Struthio camelus: one gene and its partners. The protein of the gene in region 3 interacts with the protein of the main gene of each other region in a biochemical or structural test. Links are inferred from orthologs where the notes say so. Each region holds a gene or a part of one and is shown on either strand. Other genes may lie near its edges.

The links.
Region 1: the proteins of PPARG (region 3) and NCOA4 form a complex in vitro, tested with the Homo sapiens proteins (2 studies listed by BioGRID, with this or other methods). The link is inferred for Struthio camelus from reciprocal best matches to the Homo sapiens genes PPARG and NCOA4.
Region 2: the proteins of PPARG (region 3) and GRIP1 form a complex in vitro, tested with the Homo sapiens proteins (2 studies listed by BioGRID). The link is inferred for Struthio camelus from reciprocal best matches to the Homo sapiens genes PPARG and GRIP1.

What each region holds. Positions count from the first base shown.
Region 1 is NC_090948.1:33,201,516-33,209,280, forward strand, and holds the start of NCOA4 (nuclear receptor coactivator 4), read right to left. Parts: upstream 3,084-7,765; 5' UTR 2,360-3,083; coding exon 2,337-2,359; intron 918-2,336; coding exon 764-917; intron 270-763; coding exon 129-269; intron 1-128. UniProt on the Homo sapiens protein: Cargo receptor for the autophagic turnover of the iron-binding ferritin complex, playing a central role in iron homeostasis. Acts as an adapter for delivery of ferritin to lysosomes and autophagic degradation of ferritin, a process named ferritinophagy.
Region 2 is NC_090942.1:39,757,790-39,764,815, forward strand, and holds the start of GRIP1 (glutamate receptor-interacting protein 1), read right to left. Parts: upstream 3,093-7,026; 5' UTR 2,745-3,092; coding exon 2,612-2,744; intron 1-2,611. UniProt on the Homo sapiens protein: May play a role as a localized scaffold for the assembly of a multiprotein signaling complex and as mediator of the trafficking of its binding partners at specific subcellular location in neurons.
Region 3 is NC_090955.1:20,125,052-20,132,732, reverse strand, and holds the start of PPARG (peroxisome proliferator-activated receptor gamma), read left to right. Parts: upstream 1-4,613; 5' UTR 4,614-4,700; coding exon 4,701-4,827; intron 4,828-4,835; exon of another isoform or gene 4,836-5,002; intron 5,003-5,164; exon of another isoform or gene 5,165-5,310; intron 5,311-5,995; exon of another isoform or gene 5,996-6,294; coding exon of another isoform or gene 6,295-6,325; intron 6,326-7,681. UniProt on the Homo sapiens protein: Nuclear receptor that binds peroxisome proliferators such as hypolipidemic drugs and fatty acids.

The DNA of each region.
Region 1 (7,765 bases), on a different chromosome or scaffold from region 3:
TGCACAGAAGACAAAATACATGTTACTGTTTTGGCTTCTAAGGGTAAAATTAAGAAAATACTACTTGCAAGACTGAAGTTTATTTGAAAATGTCAGTGCAGCTAAATCAGTTTACAACCAGATCTTACCCAATAGAGCTGCTGAGCTTGCTGCTGCAAGGCCTCCTCTTTGAGCTGCTGAATGAGATCTACCTGCTCAAACAGCCAAACCTCGCGACTGCGCAGGCACTCCAGGTGGCGACTTATGTGGCTGTGAATCTTTGCTTTCACCTGCAAGGTAACACGGAGCATGTCTAGAACGTCTGTCAAACAGTATGAACAACAATATGCTGTGCCCATTACAAAACAGTATTTCTCACAGAGAAGTTGTATTTTTGTACCAATCTATTTCTCAAGCGTTCCAAACACTAACCACCGGCACCCACTAAGCCACGTGACTCACAAGTTAGTACCAGTTCCAAGGCAACCTCTAAAGGAGTATCAGAGAACACTTACTTGCAGCATCTCTCTATCCTAATGTTTAAACCAAGAGCTATTTCCAAGTATTTTCTAAAGTAGGAGAAAAATACAGACCAACACTTCAGTAAATTCTGCATGCCTAAGCTAGCGGTACTGAAGAGCATGACCAAGTTACGTAGCAAGATGCTTGCTGTCTCTAGGAAAATTTCAGTCCAGCATCGTATTATACAGAATACTTTGGAATAACTAGAACTGTCATTGAAGTCACGTTGATTTTATGTACATATTTTATTAATTTAAATTACCTCTCTCCAGTTGTCTTTAATCTGTTGTTCAGCTTTGACAATTCCAGAAATAGCTGTTTCCAAGTCCTTCTTAGCTTGAAGGCACTTTGCCAGAGGCTCACTGCTGCAGGAATTTCTACTTCTATCTTGTGGTGAACTCATTCTTGAAGTGTTTCTAAAACACGATGAAAAGCATTTTCCTTAACAGTTTCCCTTCCTCTTTAATGGAAGAAGTGGTTATCATATGAAAAAAAAAAAATCAACATCCATCCATACATTTACTATAAAGGTGAACAAGAAAACCTAAGAACTGATACCAGTAAGTTTTCTATATATAAATAAAAATTAAGAAAATCACCAGCAGTGACAACAGTCTCTCAAAAGCCTTGGCACGTGAAATTAATGCAATCACAGGAAACCCAACAGCTATTTGTCAACAGACTCAACCACAGGAGCTTAAGCAATCCTCCCCTGCTGTTCACACTCCTCTGACATTTGTGCTTAGCCAGCAAACTCTAGCCACCGCGAGCTGATCCAGGACACATTCAGCAGACCTGCCGCAGCCAGGGGAGAACGGCCTGGCAAGTACTAGAGGGCAAGAACTGCTTCAGTCACCCGGGTTTAACCTGCAGGCAAATGAACTGGCTCCCTTAAAATCTCTCATAAATGAAAAAAATGTAATTCAGTTTCATCAGCTGAAAATCCCCATGTTAATACACAGTTCAAACTCTTCACTAAGCATCCAGGGCCCAAACTTACAAGAGTCACTTGTTACGTTTGTTGTGGACAAACACAGCCTGCAGTAACGTAGCTTCACCATATCCTCAAGTAAAAGGAACTCGGATATTAAATTTCTACAAGAGTTACACAAATAAGGATTTTGCAAGTCAAGCAAAAAAGCTAAATACAGATTTTTTTTTAAAATAAAAATAGGAAGCAGTAGCACTTTTTCCTAAACTGTGGGCGTTTTGTCACTTAAGAGTTTCAATCCTCCTGTTAAGTTTCATAGAATACATGAAGCACCAATAGTAAGCATTTTGTTTAAAAAGTCAAATAAATCTTCAGTAACGACATCTATGAAAATTCACAGCAGAATTAATTAGTTAAAAAGTGCACACATGCCAGTATAAATATTTTACAAATATTCTCCCCCCCACACACACACTGGAAGTCAAAAGAGTATTTTGAACATGACAACAAAACCACAGAGCTGGCGTTACTGAGCAGTTACTTAGTTTGCAATTTCCAAGCTCCATGACCATATAAACCGCAATCCAAAAAACCCTTCTGCAGCCAGGACCCACCAGACTCGAGCTGCACGTTTTGCCCGGGTCAGCAAAGTGCAGAGGGTCAGCAGTGGCCCCTGAACGGACGCAGGCAGAAAATGCAGCGGCTCCTCTAACAGCAAACCTTGCACGGGCCGGGCACCAGCGCAGCCTGGGAGGGGGCAGCTGCGGGGCCGCAGCTCCCTGGTGCCACCACACTGAGGTCCCCAGGTCCCAGTCTCGCCCTGGCCACGCACCACAGCGCAGGAGCCGCACCAAGCACCACCATGCACCTTGACCCTGACCCTACTCTCGCCATCACAGCTCACCTTCTAGGAAGCACAGAGCACATTCCAGCTGCAAGAGAAAGGAACTTGAATTTAGTTCTTAAACTTGCATCAATTCCGCCCCGACTTATTCAGGGTATTGAAGTCCAAAACATGCCATTCTCCATTCTGTGCTATCAAGGCTAGCTTTATTCTACTATTTTCACAGTGCAGTCTGGTACCAGGTTCAGTTACATAAGGTTTCACATTCTTCATCTTGCCAGTGATTTTCAGTAAGAGATAAGCTTATCCTTTACAACATCCTTTAAATTTTATCCTAATTTCATACTGACACGGTAGAACTTGGGAAACTTCTATATGCTCCTCTAATACTCTGAGGATATTATGGTTTGCTGCAAGATTTTTTAATTTGTTTGTTCTAGTTGCACGAATCTCTCGCCAAAATGAATTCAGAGATAATTCGGTACTGCCTGTGAGGATGGAAGATGACAACTCTTGCAATATGGCTGTTCTTACAGGCTGGTTTTTAATCAGACATAAAACTACATTTCAGGATGTCAAGAGAGCCGATTCATTGCTAATTTCAATTTCTGCAACCTTTTAACAAAAAACAGCAAAGACAAGTGGCGTAGCAACCTATTTCATTGTTTCCCCATTATCACAAATTTCATAGCACTCGCAGGCTAAGATATATTCAGGTCCCATACTTTGAAGGAAGTGAAATCAATACACTTATGATCAATAGGAACAAACCACAGTTACTGCTGCAGTGAGATACCGAGTTGCAATATGTAACCTTAATTCACCCTTTCTGGCAAATACCATGTCATCCAGCTTTTCCCACCCCCACTGCAGTATCACCCCGTTGGTACGTTATTCCACGGAGGGACACGCCTCCCCCACCCGGATCTGCTGAAGTTGCACTTATCCTCCAAACGGAGGAGTGGCCAGCGGCGCCCTGTTGAGGAGGCTGCTTTCATTTGCAACTTTCCATTGCACAGTAGCTCTGACTCCCACCACTTTTAAATAGTCATAGGCAACTTTTTTTTTTCCTCCCCAAAACTCTTTCCCATCGCACTACAGATCCCGCTCCCAATATTCGCTCATCGATGCAGCGAGCGATTCAACCCGGGCAAAAGCACGGGTAAATTCCCTAAGAATGACTAAAGCAAGTGAACACCCCACTAAAAAAACAGCATTAAAAAGCAGGAAACAAAGCAGGCCGCGCTGTCGGGAGCAGGGGTTTCCGCAGGTGCAGCCATGCTCCCAGCCCGCCCCCCGCCGGGAGCCTCCGCGCCACCTCGGGCCCGGCCTCCCCCATTTTTTTAAAAACACCAAATGCCTCTTGTCATCCCACTGTCAGTGGAAACCGCAAAACCAGACGTTTTGGCGACAAGCCCGCAGTTGCTCACGCAGGAAGCAGCGAGGCAACGCGCCCCTCGCACGGGCGGCAGGCAGCGCAGCCTACCTCCTCCTGGGCGGCCAGCAGCAGGGGGGAAAGGGCTGCAAGCCTGCACAGTAGCCAAATTAAATCCCCTGCCACTGCCCGTACAAAACCCTAAACAATGAGAGCCTTTGTGTTTTAAACTCCAGCACTGAACGTGTCAAATTCCACAAATTCTTGCGATAATAAAACATTCAGAATGAAGTTAATACCCGGAGTGATCATGACAGCATCACACGTAACTTCATTTTTACTACGCCTACTCTTGCTTCCATGCTTTCACGTGCAAATAAGGAAAGCACACGTATACATAAACGTATGCATGTAAGTCAGTTTAAAAAAAAAGTATAGTTATACAAGCAACAGGAAGGCCTAAAATGAGCTGGGAAGATGCACTCTTTTTCCCAATTGCCAAATAATTGCCTGTCCTCATAGAAAAGTTTTTGGCCATTTCCATTAATACTCCAAAACTGCACCGGAGGGCTGGTATTGCAAACACTCTTCAGCTAAAAGCTTTTGGTTGCAGTATTATTCCTCCTAACAGTTTGTATAATCTTTAGTTTACAGAGAGGCTGTCTGCCCTCATCCCTAAGCTGTTACTCCTTATACTCATCTTCTCTTACTTTTATTTTGTAGCTCAGAAGCTCAACTGAAAAAAAAACATATTTTAGATTTTAATTAAATATCATGTGGCTGGGGAGCAGAGAGAAGGAGGGGACAACAAACTTGCCTTCCTTGCCTACACAATCCGCTAATAGCCCTGCAGAAAACCGGTTTTACCAGCTCTTCACTCTCAGCACAATCATCTCAACTGTTGCCTATAAAGACTCGTGGTCTTTGTATTTCAAATGGATGTTGAATAACCTTGAAAAGATGATCTTCCTAAGCCTCTACTGGGGAAAAACTTCTGCAACTGCACAAAATTCATACCTGACAGGCTCTATTTATTAACGTTGAATGATTTCTTTCAGTTGCCAGTACCCGGCTGCTGCAAAGGTCTCAGTGACCTGGTTTTAAACCAGCTGCCTTGTTTGAACTGAAATCCCTCTTCGTTTCTGTTTTACCCCACCAGAAAACAGTTGCTCCTCTGAAGAAGCTATCCCAAATTAGGTATGTGGGAGTTTGGGTCAACCGAGTTAGTACTTTAAGTACAAGAAGTCAATCTCGGAAATTTCCATTTATACCTAAAAATAACATGCATTTTATACAGTAAAGCATCAACGTGACCACCAGCAAGCATCTGCACGGATCTTCTGCTGGGGGTTTGTTTTACTCCAAAAAAAGAAACTGTGCACTATCATATATTTTTAAGCCAGAAATCACCTGCAGAAAAATGAGCTCCAACAGCTGTAAATAAGAGAATTCAAAATAGCACCTGAAGGAATAAAAGCAAGTTGCAGGTAACGTATTTTCTAGAATTCAAGTAGCTCTTCTCCGGCCGCGCTCTTTTGGAAGGGCGCCACAAACCTGAACCCACGCGACTGCGTTTTCAATCTGCTCTGACACTGGAGCAGCCGGGCCAGGGCACAGAGCAGCTCTAGGGTGGAGGTGTCACAGGAGGAGGCTGCTGGAAGAGCCACAAGCCGCTAGCGCAGCAAGGGCAAGAAGCCTGGCCATGCTCCTACTCTGTGGACTTTAGAGCTCAGACTATGTTTTGCAAGCAGCGGCACTTAAGTGACACCACAGAATAGCTGAAAATGAATGTCTGAAATCACCGTGCCATAGTTATATGCAATACTAAAGCAGGTACCTGAGCAGGAGAGACACGCTTATCTAAACACAGATCTTACAGGAAAACACAGCTCTCTCTCAGCCTTTTACGCTTAAAGCCCTTTGGGAAACAAGTAAGTAGCAACGCCCGGCTCCGCGGGGAGCGCAAGGCGCCGAGGAGCGTGACCGCGCTCGGCAGCACACCCATCGACACAACGCGCGCTCTTACAGACTCGCGAGCGCTATTTTCTTCAAACGACTATCAGCTTTTTTTCCCCCCTCCCGTAACTGCAAGCTTATTTAACGCTGCAGTGAAAGCTCTTCGCCTCAGCCCCAGCCACAAACGCAGCCCCCCGCCCTCCCCAGGAGCCCGGGCTCCAGCCCCCGGCCCCCTCCCGGGCACCGCGCCCCCGGCGCTTCCAGACCCCCGCCGCGCGCGGGGAGCCCTCACCGCTTTTGAGCTACGTGACGGCGGTTATTACCGTTACCGCTTCTGCAGCCCTCGGAAAGCGCAGCTAGTACAAAACGCAAACGGCTCTGCGCGGCGCCGCAGGGGAAGGCCCAGGCCCAGGCCCGGCCCCGGCCCCGGCCCGGCGCGACCGGCCGCCCGCAGCCGGCCCCGGCCCGCCATCCCGCTCCCCGCCGAAAAGCCTGGCCGAAACGCACCGCCGAGATCCTCGCACCCCGCCGACAAACGCTCCTGGCGGCTCGCTGCCGAATCACGTAACGGCCAGCCAGCGGCCCCCCTCCGTCTACGCGCACACACCACACGCGTACATGCACGCACACGCACGCAGAGGTATACCCGTGCCCGCGCACGGACGCCGGCGCCCCTACCTCAGCCCCGCCCCGCCGCTCCCCGTGCCCAAGCCGCACGCAACGCCGCAAACGCGGGCGCTCAGCCAAGGAAAACGGGGCAAAACCGCCCCCCGCCGCCTCGCCTCGCCTCGCCTCGCCCCGCCCCCCGCTGCGCGCGCACCGCCGCCGACCCGGCCGCCTGGACCACGGCGGCCGTTAGCGCCTGTCCGTCCCGCAGCGCCTGGCCGGGCCCCGCGGCCGCCGACGGGGCGGGGGGGCTGGTTACCGGCGGCCGCGGCGCGGCTCCCCTCAGCGGCGCGGCGCCCCGGCTGCCAGGCGGCGAACGGCCGCTCTCGCGAGAGCGCCGCCCCCGCGCAGGCGCCTGCGCCCGGGCCCCGCCCCCGCCCCCTTGGCCCGGGTCCCGCCCCGCCGCCATGTCGCGGCGGGCGCCATGTCGCGATGGGGGCCGCGGCTCCCTCCGCCCTAGCGCGTCCCCTCTTTACCCAAACCGACGCCGTGGATTGATAAAGCGAAATGTAGAATGACGTTACCTCAAGCCACAAAGCAGGTAGGGCCGGACCGTTTCCGGCAGAGCCGGGCTCCGGGCCGCCTGCCGGTGCGTGCGGGGCCGGGCCCGCGCGGCCTTGTAAATAACGGTTCTGGGTTGCCCTGGAGACCTCTCCTCCCCCCCCCGGCCGCGGCCCCCCTCGGCCCGGGGGCCTGTCGCCCAGCTCGGCCGCGCACCGCCGCCTTCCGGCCGGCAGGACAGAAAGGGCGCCGCAGGGGCACGGGTTAACGGCGGTGCCGGCGGCAGACAGCCGCTCCTCTCGGAGACATCGTCTGCCAGAGCAGCAGCAGCGTGTCTGGATGACAGCCCCCCATGCGCAGTACGAAGCGAGAGAAAAGTCATCACCGTAGGCGGCGGGGAACGGCGTCAGGCCTGCAGCTGCCCGGGCAGCAAGGGGGCTGTTCTCCCTCGGCGGCTCCGGCCCAGCTGTCCGACCTCGCTCAGCCACAGCCTCTGACGTCTGTCCTTGGTCTCTGTCCCAACAGGCCACAACCTGGTGTTCAGTCCCACAGCTGCGTGCCAGACCCGTCCCCAACCTCCCTCCTGCGTTCCTCCTTCCTGGCGGCCCAGCCTCTCACCCTGCCGCTGCCAGCCGGTCTCTGCTTTCAGCCCGCTCAAGGCATGGAGCTCGGCAGCCACCAGCTGAGCTTGAAGTCTAATGCTCTAGTCCAAGGCGGTAGCTTTTCAAACTTCACTGCACTGTATTTGCTTGCACATCATCTTTTCTGTGATGATTTACCTCAGTGCCTCTACTTGTGCGCAGCTGCTTAGGACCATCTTGTCCTGGGGTGCACATGGCCCTTATGGCCCTCCTGTAGGGCTTCTTTAGAAACCACAGCACACCAGGTTTTTCAAGGCGCTTCCTGGATTATTTCAGGACTGCCAAACCACACGTTTCCCACAGGTACGTGTACTGGTTCACACATGCTCTCTGTAGCGTCGAGGATGTTT
Region 2 (7,026 bases), on a different chromosome or scaffold from region 3:
GGCCTATTCTATTTTTAATGCTGTTTTCTTTCTGTTTGATCCTCTGATTGTTCTAATGTAGCTTCTATACTGACATTAATTCTGTCTCCGTTCTAGGCAATATTATAAAAGGGGGGAAGAGAGAATAACAAGCCCATAAAGTGATTGGCTCAGACAATCTTCAAATGCAGTAGCTAACTGGATATGTAACTCATACAAGACGACCCTTGAGGAGGGATGGACAACACTATAGGGAAAGGAAACATCCTAAAAAAAAAAAAAGCTCCTGTTCTGTTCAGCTGAGTGAACAAGTCTCTGATTTCATTAGTTCTGATATTCTGAAAATCATACCAATAAAGTGGATCCTATTCTCAAGCATGCACACTTCTAAACACATGAATGCAAAAGGAATAGCTTTTAGAAAGTCTGCGATTACTCTAAATTTGAACTGTAAGCAGCATAATGCCAGATCATCGTTAAATTAAACACGAATCGCTTCATTGTTCCAACTACATGAAACGCAGCTTAACGATAGCATTTACAGGAGCACCAGCAACATCTCTTGACATTGCGTACATCAATTTAAGTAGGTACTGCCCCTATCCAACCAAAACAGCGCCACACACAGCACAGGCAGAAAAGGCATTTGAGGAGCCATTGTATTTGATGTGGTAGCTCTATAAAAGCCTCTTCTCTTCCTGATGATTGATGAACAAATAAATCTCTAGGGCTCAATCTCCTGTGACACATTTAAGTAACTGCCAGAAGTTGCAAACTACTTGTGTCCAACTCTATAGGGCTGGACGTTATTTGGATTATTTAGTCTGGGGACTATGATCACTAATATAAGCAACATTCAAGGTCAGTTACAAAATTTGACACAGATTCTTCCACTCTAAAATACTCAGAATCTCCACAGGCTCAAATGTGAGAGAAAAAATATTCTTTTATTTTATGAGTAAAATAAAAATTAAAACAAATATTAGACATTTGGCTCCATCTTAGTCCCTCACATTAAGTCAAGAGCAATAATTTATTAATCAACATTCAAGAAATCCTTATTACATATGACAGGTTTTGGAGGGTTTTTGCTTTCTTATTTAAAAGACCTTCAAGAACAATCAGCTAGTGAAATATTCTGACAGACTGTTTTGACATATTCATTTGATTTGCGTACTAAAGCAAAAGAAGTTGCGTTCTTCCATTAACTTGAAACATTTTCACATTCTTCAGTGCTAAGTAGATTTAAATTTTTCAGTTCTTGTAATAGCATATTCCATGGTAATACATAATCTGCTAAAACAGTATCGCTCCCCAGAATAGACCTTTTCTTAAGGGATCTCAGTCTGAATAGCATTGATAAATTCTAAGATGATCAGCATTGTAAATTTTCTTAAAAACAGAAAACAGCAAGGATTTTATTGTGGAGAGTCCCCGTAAACAACCAAACTCTCTATATTAGTTTACTTCTGGAGATAAGGCAAGCATGGTGCACTTGGAGAAAACCAAAAGAAAATCTCTTGCTTCATAATTTTCCACATAATGGCAGTACTCTGTTGCTCTAAAGCACAATCACATTTATTGTCTTAGAACAAATGTAATGTTTTCATGATTTATTTCAGCAAAATGGAAGTGAAGCCCAATGATACAAAAAGAAACTGACAGCCAATGGTACATACAACAAAAAGTACATCAAACTTCAGCTGCTGAACAAAAGGCAAAGCTCCCAAATCACTGGTCACAACAGCAGAAACCTTTTAAAAAGATAATTTTTGTGCATGACTGATTCTACTGTCGCTACCTTGCACTGACAAAGCTGCATAATAAACTCAGCAACATCTGAGTGTAGCTTCCCTCACATTGTCCCTGCAGGCATTTCTGGGCATTTCCAACCCATGGGGAGAAGTCAAAGGCTGACCATGCGCTCATAAGCCTGACAGGTACAGGGAATAAATCTTAGTGTGCTGCAATTTACCATACACATTTTGCAAGGGGACTTAAGAACAGGCAGTTTATTTAGGTTTATAGCAAACTGCTGCAGTCATCTGACTGCAAACAAACAAAAACAGCTACTTAATTCTGTATAAGTGATCCTGAACGTGCAGCGACAAAGCAGCCCACTTGAGTTACCTTCTGCTGAAAAGAGCCGGTCACAGCGTGGGCTCAAGGGACCGACTCGCACTCAGCAACCAACAGCAATTGTCAACTTGAACTTATGAATGAGCGATCACTGCCTTTCTATTGCTTTAGAAATATCCACAGCGCGGCTTTACGAAGGCATTCGACAAGGGCCCATTGCACCCGTTTTCAAAACAAAGGATTTTACCAAAGGGTTTGCAACAGTAAGACTCAGTTAACTGCACCTGAAATATTAAACAGGTCTACAGACCGCGCTTACTTTGAGAGAGCGACTGTGCCACTTCAACTGTTTTTTATTCCTTGCTGGCAGTCACAGACAGATAAATCTACAATGGGAAGGTAATGTTTTAATACTTGCACCAGGCTCAGATGCCACCGTGTGAGAAATACTGTTTGGGTTTGCCGTTCTTTTTTTTTTTTTTTTTTTTTAATAATCCTAAAAGCATAATATTTCTCACAGCCAAAGGTAAATGAGGTTATGCAAAATACTTACTTCGAAAATGCTCCGAGGCATAATAATAAACATCCTCATAACCCTCATGGTAATCCTCCTCTGGCCGGTACTTTTTGCCTTTTCTTCTTCTCGATCTTCTTATCTGCTTGACAAAGCCCAAGAAGCGCTCCATCTCCTCGGCAGCGGCACCAACTCGCAGCCCCTTCGCCCTTGGCTTCACAGACAGCTGTCCGAGCACAAATTAACAGCAAACACGCAGGCAGAGCTACACCTTTTGACCAGCCACTCCGGCACCATGAAAAAAAAAAAAAACCCTTCCTTATCTCAGCTATGAATAGAAAGCATATTCTTTTTCCCTTTAAAAAGGATGGGGGGGGCTTTATCAAATCTACTAGCTGGAATATTTCAACATGAAAATAGATAAAGGAGGAAAATATTGTAGTGAGAAGTGAATCTCTACATCTCAAGCAGTTATTAAACAAAATAGAAGAAAGTTGAAGAGATCTGCCTGCCTGCCAGCAAGAGGAAACCCAGCACTGAAATCTCCCTATCCTATGTCTCCATCATTTGAAGAGGGCTGGGAGGCGGGGATTCATGTTAGTCAATGGACTGAACCACATCTCGAGGCAAAATAGGTTTCCGATTGCCAGTTAAATCCTATCCTAGCATTTAAACGGGCACAAGCTCAGGACCTCGTTTGAGTTCGTTTGTTCTAAGAACAGGAAACTCGCTAATCCATTTTTGGCATCACATGTGCTGCATGAATAAATAGCAAAGTGGTTTAACCCATACACACAGCCCACTCACCGACAAGTGTGTGCTGAATGTGTTAATTGGAGCAGCAGGGAGAAAGCTCGGCAGCTGCTAAAAAATGACACATATACCCATTGGGCATTAGTATATTCTAATCACTGTTAGATCTAAATATTAAAATACACTTCACAGACAGGTTTCTTATGGAGCTGGCGAGGCTATATGGTGATAGGCAAACAAAGGAAGCAACATCATAAGCACACCATGCAATACTCATTTAAAATCCTAGCCGAGTTTTAAGAACTTTAAAATTAAGCTAAAGCAAGAGAAACTATCCTTTGCACTGAGTGACGCTAGTAGAAAGCCTGAAAAGGTGCCCAGGACGTTTTCTTACTACTCGTCTGAATTCCACAAGCATTCCCGAAGATAAGACTGGAATTTCATGGGCATTTCTGATGAAGTTTCCCTCCCTCGCAAGAACAAAAGCAGTATCTGCTCAAATTCTATCACGCTGCCATTTACCACAGAGTTTGCTTTGTAATTGCAGTCCAGCAAACCAAGGGAGGTGTCTATGCCAGCAGGACATCTCCTGGTGGCTGGCACAAGTCCAGAATCGATCCATCACCTCCGTCAAACCATGCACCGAGCATGGTCACCTGCATCCACGCTCTCAGGAAATGCCATTTCCCGCCTATGAATACGAGAAAGTCATAGAGTCTTCCCGTAAAATTGATTTTACAGGATCATCACCTGGAAAATGAAAACCACGCACAGGTGGCATTAGTTTCTGGTGATTCACTAGTTTGCAAAGAGCAAAGCAACGCAACTTAGAAAAGGGCATAAGAAGTAAAGCAAAAGCTAGGATTGCAATTTATCACCGCTTCAATAGAAGCATGAAGATATTGATCATATTGTAGTTGGAATTTTCTAGTTTTGCAACATGTAGAAGCAGTACAGTAAGCTGGATCTGCTGTCTGAGGGTGTTACACACAATGAAAGCAGGCAGGCAAACTCTTTTGGGGACTGTTCCAGCATCCCAGCTATTTTAAAATAAGACAGTTGCAGGAACACACCCATTTTAGCTGGTGAAGCTGACAAAAATCCTGAATGTACCTAGCAAGCTCTCCACAGGAATGTACTCTAATCTTCCTCGACCTCAGCAGCCCGTTTTTCCACTGTGAAGATGCAGCCACTATCATTGCTTGACGCACACACCCTGAGGTCACTACCAGAACTATTTTTAGTGTGGTTAACTTTTATAAGGAAGTTAGCTGTGTTTTGTTACATTCCTGTTTTTATCACACAGCTTATAACTTTCAAAGGATAAGAACTTACAGGGATATTACACACACACACACACACAAAATCTTTTGATATGGACCCCTACGAATGGAGGGCTGTATATTCTCAAGGTTTCCATTCAGATGTCTTTTCTGTGCTTTGCTACCAAGCAGCAAAAACATTGTTAGCATCACGAAACACTGAAAACAGCAACTTAGCCTAGAGCAGAGACAGCAGTCTCCTCTCTGGAAATGGAAATGATATTTTGATGCCATATTTACTCCCACAGAGCGTTCTCCCTGACACTTGTGTGAGGGACTTACCTTACTTTTAGGTAAGAAAGTTGCCTGTAGGTCAGAAACATTCATCTTTAAGACAGAAGTCTTGCAGTCAATGTTTTCTAAAGTTAAATTATAAATGTCGAGTCAAAGTGATACAGCTACTTAAAAAAAAAAAGGAGAAAAGTGGAAAACTTACCCTGTTTTAAACTGCCCCGTAAATGAGAGATGAAAACTGAAATCTGGCATATGCTTAGCTTTTGCCAAGTAAATATACCTTTCTCCAGTACCGCTGCTGTTAAACATGCTGTTGTAACAGAAGCTTGTGTTTGAGATGTGGATTCCACAGTCCTAAACACAGCCTGAAGAAAGCCAGTCCCCAAACAGATTTCAGGCCTTTCCATTGCAAGGCAAGCAAACTAAATAAGGAGGCAAGGTAGCAACCAAATTCTTTCAGCTAGCACAGTAAGCACCAGTTGTAGCATACCAATTGCCTCACCATTTTCTAGAGGAAAATCAATTTTCTTTTGGGTGAGTTCTGAGTTTTTGGAAAAACACATCTTTACCTTGCACAAAAGATCTTCCCCCCTCTCGCCTAGGCTTGCAAAGTGCACCACTAGGGAAGGATTCATTGGGCACGCTTATATTGCTCATTTAGTAAAGCAAAAAAAGGGCACTAAACTGTATTATTGTCAGCGGTCAAGGTAATGGCTCCCACATATCTTGTAAAGCAGGAAAGGGCTGAGAGGGAGCACTAGCGCAACTCTTTGCATAAGCACGGGGGAGTTCATGCTCTGCTGCTCTTCCCTGTGTCCCAGCAACTACCACTGCCAGTAAAGGCCAGGCCCCATCTCTCACCCCAGAGGTGCAGGAGCGGGTGCTACCCACCGCTTCTAGCCCACAGGCTGCCAGCCTGAGCAGCTCCTCATTTATGCACCTCTTTCCTTTTCTATGAACTTAAAGTGCAGAGATAAAGAATGTCAGGATTTGGGCTGGTTGGTTGTTTTTTAAATCTAGAACAACATGAGTTCATGACAGGATTTTCCCCTCCCTAAAATATTTTGGTATTTAGGGTAATCTAAAAAGAAGAAAACATCTCAACTGTAGACAATGGTTCTATATATTATAATAGTCATGAGTATCATGTGTTTTGCCATACTATAAAGCTTTCTGAACAAAACTTATGTTGCATATGCATTACATACTACCTTTACCGCTTTGTTGAGAACACTGGAGACATTCATTAGCTAATCCTTATGCCACACCTATAAATATTTTATAATAGTCCTACTTACAAATGTATAAGCAGAGAATTCAGTGTCACAGACATGGTTTACCGTAGTTAAAAAAAAAAACCAGCTTTTCTGCTGCTCAGCATTCCCTCTTCTGTAGCTCCTTGTGGTGAACAATTCGCTCCTTGATGAAAATGAACACAGATCCTGCAACCCTCTGCTTGAAAATGAATAAAAAGTATCCCAAGAGACTGACAAAAAGCAGGAACATACTAGATGCATACAACACCTCTAGAAAGGCATCCTGATTTTATGGGGGGAGCAGAGGAAGAAACAAAGATTGACATTGAATTTTTTAACATGCAAAACATCAGATATGACAGCGCATTTCATCCCATAGTGACAAAGAGAATAGGATAATTGCACCCAAAGAGCATAAAATAAGGTGTCAGCTGATATTCTGAGGCTTTCTCTGCATTAGAATTTGGGGATCAGTTTTCTTGCGGTCAATGCCACAACAAAAGTTGCAATGTAAATATGACTAAAATTCTTTGGCTCATCCTTTCTCCAGGAATACATCTACTCCAAACAAAGCAACTGCTCTGTTGATATTTCCAAAGTGGTTTGCTTAGAAAACGCAAGGATAGCCATGCTGCCTCCAACATCATGTTAAAAAATTTTGCCAGGTGACAGCAGGTGGATAATAATATTGCTTTATCCGTTCTGATAATTAATTTGTTTAACGTAAGTTACCAGGAACCTCTATCAAACTTGACCTGACTCAGGTTAGTGACTTACTGGAAAAGACTTCATGTCAGTAATCAAATATACCAGCCCGACACTGTCCTTTTCCAATAGTTAAGCTGGGGTGTAAATGCTTCTGCAGAACCAAAATAGGCCGCTTCTACTG
Region 3 (7,681 bases):
CACAACAATGCATAAAAACTATAAAACAGGACAAAGGTCATAGGAAATGGAAGTACCAAGAGATCTTCACACAATCTTCCAAAAGAAACAATGGAGGAGGACTTAATTCCTTTTTAACAATTATTAGGGAGTAAGTATCATAAAACTGCCTTCCCCACACTCTTACAATTTTCTTCATGAACAAATGTTTAATTTGAACCTGGACAAAAAAAGATCTTCAGATGCTTTAAGTTAAATTTTGCATCCAGGAGTTTTCACTGGAATCAATGAATTGCCTGTGTGAGAAAGACGGCAAATACATGAAAGCTAATTAGGAATACAGGTTTAGATCTCCCGATATGGTTATATACAAAGTCCATTTATGAGCAGAAAACACTGATATAAACACTACTGACTTCAGGCTCACGGCGTTTCAGTTATACAAGTGTTATTTGCATTTTATATATGAGGAAAATGAGACACAGCTAATGACTTAGCCCAGTGACCCACAGGAAGTCAGTGACACAACCAGGAATAGAACTTAGACCTCTCAGCAGCTAGTCCCATGCTTTAACCACAAGACTAGCCACCCCCTTCCCATCTTATATTAGCACAACTCTAAATCTTAATTGCATCACCTACTAATTTAAGATGTCTACATGTATACAATTTTGTAGAAAACTGAATTTCTAAGGCTGAATAAGTTACATTCATAAATATTTCTTAATTTAATCACCCAACAAATTAGGATAAAATGGTTTTAAATGAGAATCAACATAAAAGTATCAGAAATTTCTGGATGCTTTAAAGTGACTTCTTGAGAAATGAATATCTTATATATTAACAAATCTGATGGATAACAGTATATGCTTGAGCCCTTCATTCCTTTATGTCTTTTTGTCTTCATTCTGTGTACGTGAGATGCAGTCTGGACCTATCTGATCGGAACGGGACTAGACTATGAAGATAACGGCCTATCACAGAAGAACCAGACAGCTCTAGAAAGTTATCCTCTTCAAGAGGAAAAGAAATCAGAGAAGCCAAGAGTTGGGGAAAGACCAAAGATAAAGAATAAACCATTATAATTAGAGTTAGGCAGGCTGCTGTGATCTTGGCTTTATAGAATTTAAAGCAGTCATGAATTTGGATTCTGAGTTCTTTTTATCTAAGACTCATAGTTCAAGAAAAGTAGGATCACTTTTAACTAAAAAGGTTCCTGTTTTGATCCGCTCTAAAGTTATCTATGACAAACCTGCATTACGCCTAGTCCTATCACCTTTGCTGGATACAAGGCACAGCATGCAAGATGAAACATAACAATACTGTAGTGCAAACTGCAAAGAGAGCCCGGAATCGTACCAAGGGATAGTCCCCTACTATCACTTAAAGAATGCGTCTTACACTATAGACTTTGCCACATATATCTATATAAAACGCCACTGATGGCAATTTAAACCTCTCATTTCCTTCAAATAAAAGTGTATGTATGGGCAACATGAAAATTGGAGTGAGGCAGAATATTATGAAATCCCTTTTACAAACATATCTCCCCAACAATCAAAAAACTGCCAACAGACTGACATGCTAATAAAAAGTTCTTGCTACTAATAAACGAACAGCAGATATTAATTCAGAAATTACATAACCCAAGAGAAAGTAGACACTGTAACTGTAAAAAAGGCAGCAGCACAAGTTTCTTAGCATACTTAAACTCCTTTGCCTCAAAACAATGCAATTTCCACAACTAGAACTGTTCTTTTAACTGCTAGACTTATAGTTACACTGCTAGCATATGAGATTGCCCTCCAGATGTTAAAAAGTTTGGCTAGATGATTTTTCATTTTTTGCAGAATACAGAGATGGGATACACTGCGTGATTTGTGATTTCAAACTTCTGTAATGCACCTAGAGACTTAAAGCATAGCCACAATGGAAGCATCAAAATAATTAAGTAAAAGTTGTAACTAGTATATTTGCAGAGAGAGGAAGAGGTATAAATCTCTCATTTCTGTGTCCTTACAAGATTTCTATCCTTTTCAAGCCAATCGTAGAAATCACAGTATCATAAGATCTCTTTATTACAGTCATTGTTCTAACCTAAAATCAAGCCATAAACCCTACCTGGCGTAGCTTAGAACCTGTTGCACAACAGTTCTTTCATTGAAATAGAAAAGTAAAATAAAAATGTATATATAAGAGAGGCAATTAGAGCCAGACTAACACCCTTATCCATTCTGAGCCTCCACAAAGAACTCTTACTCATTTCAGTGGGACTACTCTTGCCATATGATTCACTTTAATCTGCTTAAGATTTTCTTAATGATTAAAAAGAATTCATACTCAGCACAGAATTAAGATTTCCCTTTCAGAAGCATCAAACTCTTGAAAAGAGACTTACCACAAAAACTGAAAGAATGATTAATAATAATATAAAATGCAGTTCTCTTACATGAAAAGAAATCTAAAGCTTCTATATGCACTACAAAAACAAAGTATAACTGATCTCTTTGTAAAGACAAGTTATCCTCTAATTTTAAAAGTAGAACTGATGCTGAGAGCCCTTTCCTGCTTCTCTTTGAACTTAGGGGAGCATTGCCCATGGTTCAGAAAGGCCTGAGCCTAATGTTTCGTTCTTATTTAAGAATGTTTAAATAGCCCACTAAAACTTAGGAATTCACTGAGGTAGTAGAGGAGAAAGACCCCGCAACCCAAAACTGTGCAGTCACATGATACAAACAAAAGGTGTACAAGAAATTGATGAAGTAATTTATCATGACCATTTCATTAATGTAAAAAGAAATTCTAGAATTAATTATAGAATATATTTGTAGCCTACTTGATTTATGTTTTAATATAAAATGATTGGCTTTCCACGTGCTGCAAGTGAAAAACACTTGATAAAGCAAGGCAGATTAATTCAAATTATAAATAAGGCCTATTTTTAAGGGAGAGCGCAAGTACCAAAGAAAGTTCATGGATTCTTCATCTCTTGATTCTTCAAACCAAGATTAGCTGCCTTTCTAACTGATACATTTAATAGTATTAACCAAATACTATGTGAAAATCTATGTTCTGCGTTAGGCAGGAAATCAGACTAAGTAATTTCTTTTCCCTTCTTGCCCCAATCTGTTAAAATACATATTTACAAAACCTAAATAATTTGAACATAATAATCTAAAATATTTCACAAGTTCTGTCCAAGGGATGAACTTGTTAAAATAATATAATGTATATAACAGAAACAAAATTATATAATGTTTGTAATACTTTTCCTGAAAGCTCTGTTTGGGCGGCTTCTCTGAAAAGTCAGATGTGTCCCTTATTTCACCTATGCCATTTAATTAGAAATCTAAAGTTTGCTTTGTTTTTCTGCTTTGCTTATGAACTTTTATTAAAAGTTTAAACTCAAAGCTATGAGTATATACAGCCACAATCAGATGTGCAATAATGCCTCCCAATTTCTGGAGCGCTCCCAGTTTCCTGGAGCACGTTAAAGTCTAGAGTTTCAGAAGGGTTCTTCTATCCTTCAGACACTTAAATGAAATGGCGAGATCCTCCAGTGTTCTTTGTCCGGCTGTTTGCTATGAGAGCAGCGTTTTTTTCTGTTTGCAACAGAGCTAATTCTGAACTCTCCGTGGAGATATCCAGCTAAGATCCTTCTTATTTTAATATTCTACTGAAACTTTACATGAGATACTGCTGTAAAATGGCTAGAAATATTATTAATTTCTATATTTCAACCTCTTTTATTGCTATATTATTTTTACCTACATTTGCCTATTTATTCACCCATGGCATCTTGAGCCAATTCTAAGGTTTTGTTTTACTTGTTTTCAGTACCTGGCCCCCAATACAGAATCAGGGGATTACTGAATAGGTATTACCGCAGTATTTTAAAAAGAAAGTCCAAAAGAAAAACAAAAACCTTACAAACAAAAGATTTCCACATTTCTACAGCAAAAAGTTCAGATGGAGAGAAAAGCGTAAATGAAAAAAGTTCCTTGATATGTCAAGGCAGAAGTTAACACCCACCTCAAGCCTATACAAATAGATAATTCTCATTAAAAATTAACACAAGGCTTCAAGCCTCTACAGACAGAAAGACTATTCTCATAAACAAAAAGCTGTAGGCCATGTTAGTATCTATATGTAGACCAGATATTTTGAGGCATTCAACCCTAATCTATAAATTGCCTTCAGTGTACAAATAATATAGCAAATGTAGACTCCCTTTCAAAATGCCTGATGACTAAGAACCGTAATGAGGCAAACTTAGGATCCTCTGAATCCTCTAACGATGTCCAAGAGATCAAGGGTTTTTAAAGATAAACTGTTGTATCCTGGGGCATCTTGACTTACAGGACGACTCTCTAAACGCTGCTGATCTTGTGACTTTTTTTTTTTTCCACATCTAACTTCTTTTTAAAAGAGTCTGAGGGTGAAACAGGAGGAGGTGACATACTTGTTTGAACTTGCTCTCTCTCGAGACCTACTGAGAAGAGCCTGTACCACATCTCTCTGCATTCCTCCGTGGGGGGGGGGGGGGGGATGACAACCTGTAGCCAAAAAAAAGTGTGTGGGGGGGGGAAGGAATTTCATTTACCTCTGTTACTGCTAAGCCTGTTTTCAGAAAAGCCTGTATTCCTGTCAGTGGGACACAGACTGACGCGAGGAGACAGGACCAACGGCACGCAGCGCAGAGAGGAGTTAGCTGGAGGAGAATGGAAACGCAAAAGAGAAAGCAGTTAGCAGCCGGAAAAACTGAATTTTCAGTTACACAGCGGAGGAGATTAGAGAGAGCAGAGATCAAATTCCAGATCCACTGCAGGGGCCGCGGTCTGCCCTCAGGTACGCACTTGTGATCCCGCTGAGCGGGCACGAGCCCGCAGGGCACCGGCTCCAGTGCATGGACGCGGGCTAAAGGCGAGAGGAAGGAGAGGCGGCGGCAGCACCTCCTCCTCCTCCTCCTCCTCAGCGACCCGCTCCCTCTGCGCGTCCTCGCCTTCCCCCGTCCCTCAGCGCCGCGCCGCCCCTCCCCCCGCCAGACCCCGCCAACGGTCGCGGCGCGAGCGCCAGCGCCAGCGCCAGCCCCGCGCAGCACAGCCCCGCGCAGCGCGGCGCCCCGAGCGCGCGACGGCGGGCGGCGGCTCGCCCCTCGGCCCGGGCCGCGTGGGCCGGCGGGGTAGGCGGCGCCCCGCCGGGGGGGAGGCGGCGCCTGGTCGGTAGGACGGGCCGAGCGGGGGAGTTTATCCCACTGGAAGGGAACAGTTTCTCCCGCTGAGACTTGACAGCGCCAGGTCGGTGCGGGCTGCGGCGGACCTTCCCGCTGAGGTGAGGGGCGGCGGGGCCGGGCCGGGCCGGGCGGGGCGGCGGGGTGCGCGGCGTCCCGGCGGGCAGCCGGGGCGGGGGCCGTGCCCCGGCGCGGGCGATGCGGCCGGCCGGCCGGCGGGCTCTCGCCGAGGCGGAGGGGGCGAAGCGGCGGGTTGGCGGCGCGGCGGGGACCCTCGCTGGGGCGGCAGGTGGGCAGCGCCCGCCGGGCACCTCCGCGGGGCGGGCGGCCGCCCTCTCCCCCCCCCCCCGCCTCCCCGCCCGCCGAGGCGGCAGCCGGGCCGGCACCGTGTCCATGGTGCTGTATAGGCGGCGGGGCTGGGGCTGGGGCTGGGGCTGGGGCTGGCTGGGGGGGCAGCGGCGGTCGTTTGGTGGCGTGAGGAGCGTGCGGAGCGGCCAGAGGGGCGACGCCTGCCCCGCGGAGCTGGCGGCAGCCGTGCCCGTTGGCCGCCGGGGATGGAGCGGTGCTCACCTGCCTGCTGCCCTCATGAATGAAGAGACTTCTTCTTCTTCTTCCTTTCCCCCCCACCCCGCCCCGCCCCGCCCCGATTTCTCAACCGCAGAAAATCGGGGAGCCTTTCTGAGCCCGCAGCAGCCGAGATGTGGTGTTGAAATGTGTTAGGTCTTGACGGCGCGCCTCGGGTTTGCGGGAGCGTTTGGTAATCTTCCTGGTGTCATTTCTCTCCAGGGTGTTCTACAACTCAGAGCGCAAGTTCCTGCCGTGTTGTAACTCTGTGGCACTGTGTACACACGACAATACAATGCTGAGTTAACAGTGATGTATTTATTAATAATGTAGTGACGTAAGACCAACATTGAGCCTGATGAAAAGCTCAGGAAAGTGTCAGTTTCTCCATGTGCGGTGGACTCTAAATTTAGGTTCCCTTAAATCAGAAGGATCAATCATAACTGTCCTTGAAATAATTGAGGGTCTGGGCTGGCGTTGTCTTTGCGACCTACTGCCCCATCTCTAAAAGAGCTTTTGCCATGGAACATGGCTGTGACGGTCCATTTAATAGTGAGTATCCAAAAATAAAAAATATTCTTCTGGTAGCAATTAGTCCACAATTTAATCAGTAATTTAACTTTTAAAAGGTTACTATGATTTGTTACTAGTTAACTAAAAATTCCCTGTGTACACCAAGTAACTATGTATGACATAAGGTGTTCAGTGCTGTCCTTTGTAAACACGTTTCGTGTGTTGTGCGCTCATTGATATCAGAATTTGCTGTGTGAAGTGGTGTTTGGCATTCTTATTCTCCCTGGCTGTCACTAAAAGTCACTGCAAACATTGCTTAGAGATTTAATTATCAGATTATAAAAAATCACTCATAGCAGTGTGTTAAGGCTTGTGGTACAACATAGACATAGACTTGTCAAGGGGAGAGAGAGTAGGAAAAATAGTTGACATGAATTTTTACATGGTAACCAGTCAGAATATATTTTAAAGGTATTTCTACGCAGGCAGCTTTTGAATTTGAATATTCTGGGGCATCAGTTTTGTAAAATACCTCATTAACTGTTAGGGATTCACAGATCATATCTCTGTAAACTGCCTTAAGATAGTATGCGCTTCTTAGCGGTGCCTCATTGTCAAATTACTGGATATTACAATTTATTAAATGTCAATGTTCAATGAAACGTCGTTACAGTATGGTCAGTGCATAAAGAATTCTCCTCCTCTGATATAAGTTTATATTTCGTATTATAAAAATCACAAAAAATGAAAGTGGCAAAACGTTAGAATTAAGTTATGGCTTTTAATTTTCCTTATGAGACTGATAAAAACACCCACTATGAACATTTCTTCTAAATCTTACTCTTTTCCATCAAGTTTTGGAAATAGCCATACATTTCTAAATCAATAAATAACTGAAGCTAGGCCTCAGTTTATATGTCGATATAAATGTTTACTTTTAGCAATGGCTAATAAAGTGAATTTTACAAAAAGTTATATTGTAAAAACAGGAAAAAGAATAAAAGTAGAAAGAAAACTATTATGTACAAGGCTGGACTAAAATTCATAATGAAAAGTGTACTTAATGATATTTTCATCTTGATTTCTGAGGCCGCCTCCTAATTTTGACCCTTAATCTGTTCAAAATTGCATTGACTATATTTACCAGTCTCTTTTTTTTTTCCCTAGTCCAATTGCGAATCATTAGTTGTGAGTATTTGATACTCAGAATCTGAGTTTCTTTTACTAGTTTTTGTCGCAAGGTTTATTCCTATATTCTGTTCTGGCATACATTAAAACAGTTTGCAGCACAGCTACTCAAGAGAAATTAAAATACAATTATAAATTCTCCGTGGTAGATCCCTTTGAAGTCATGGACGCAATGCTTCCCATTAGTTATTGCTGCTTGTTGCATTT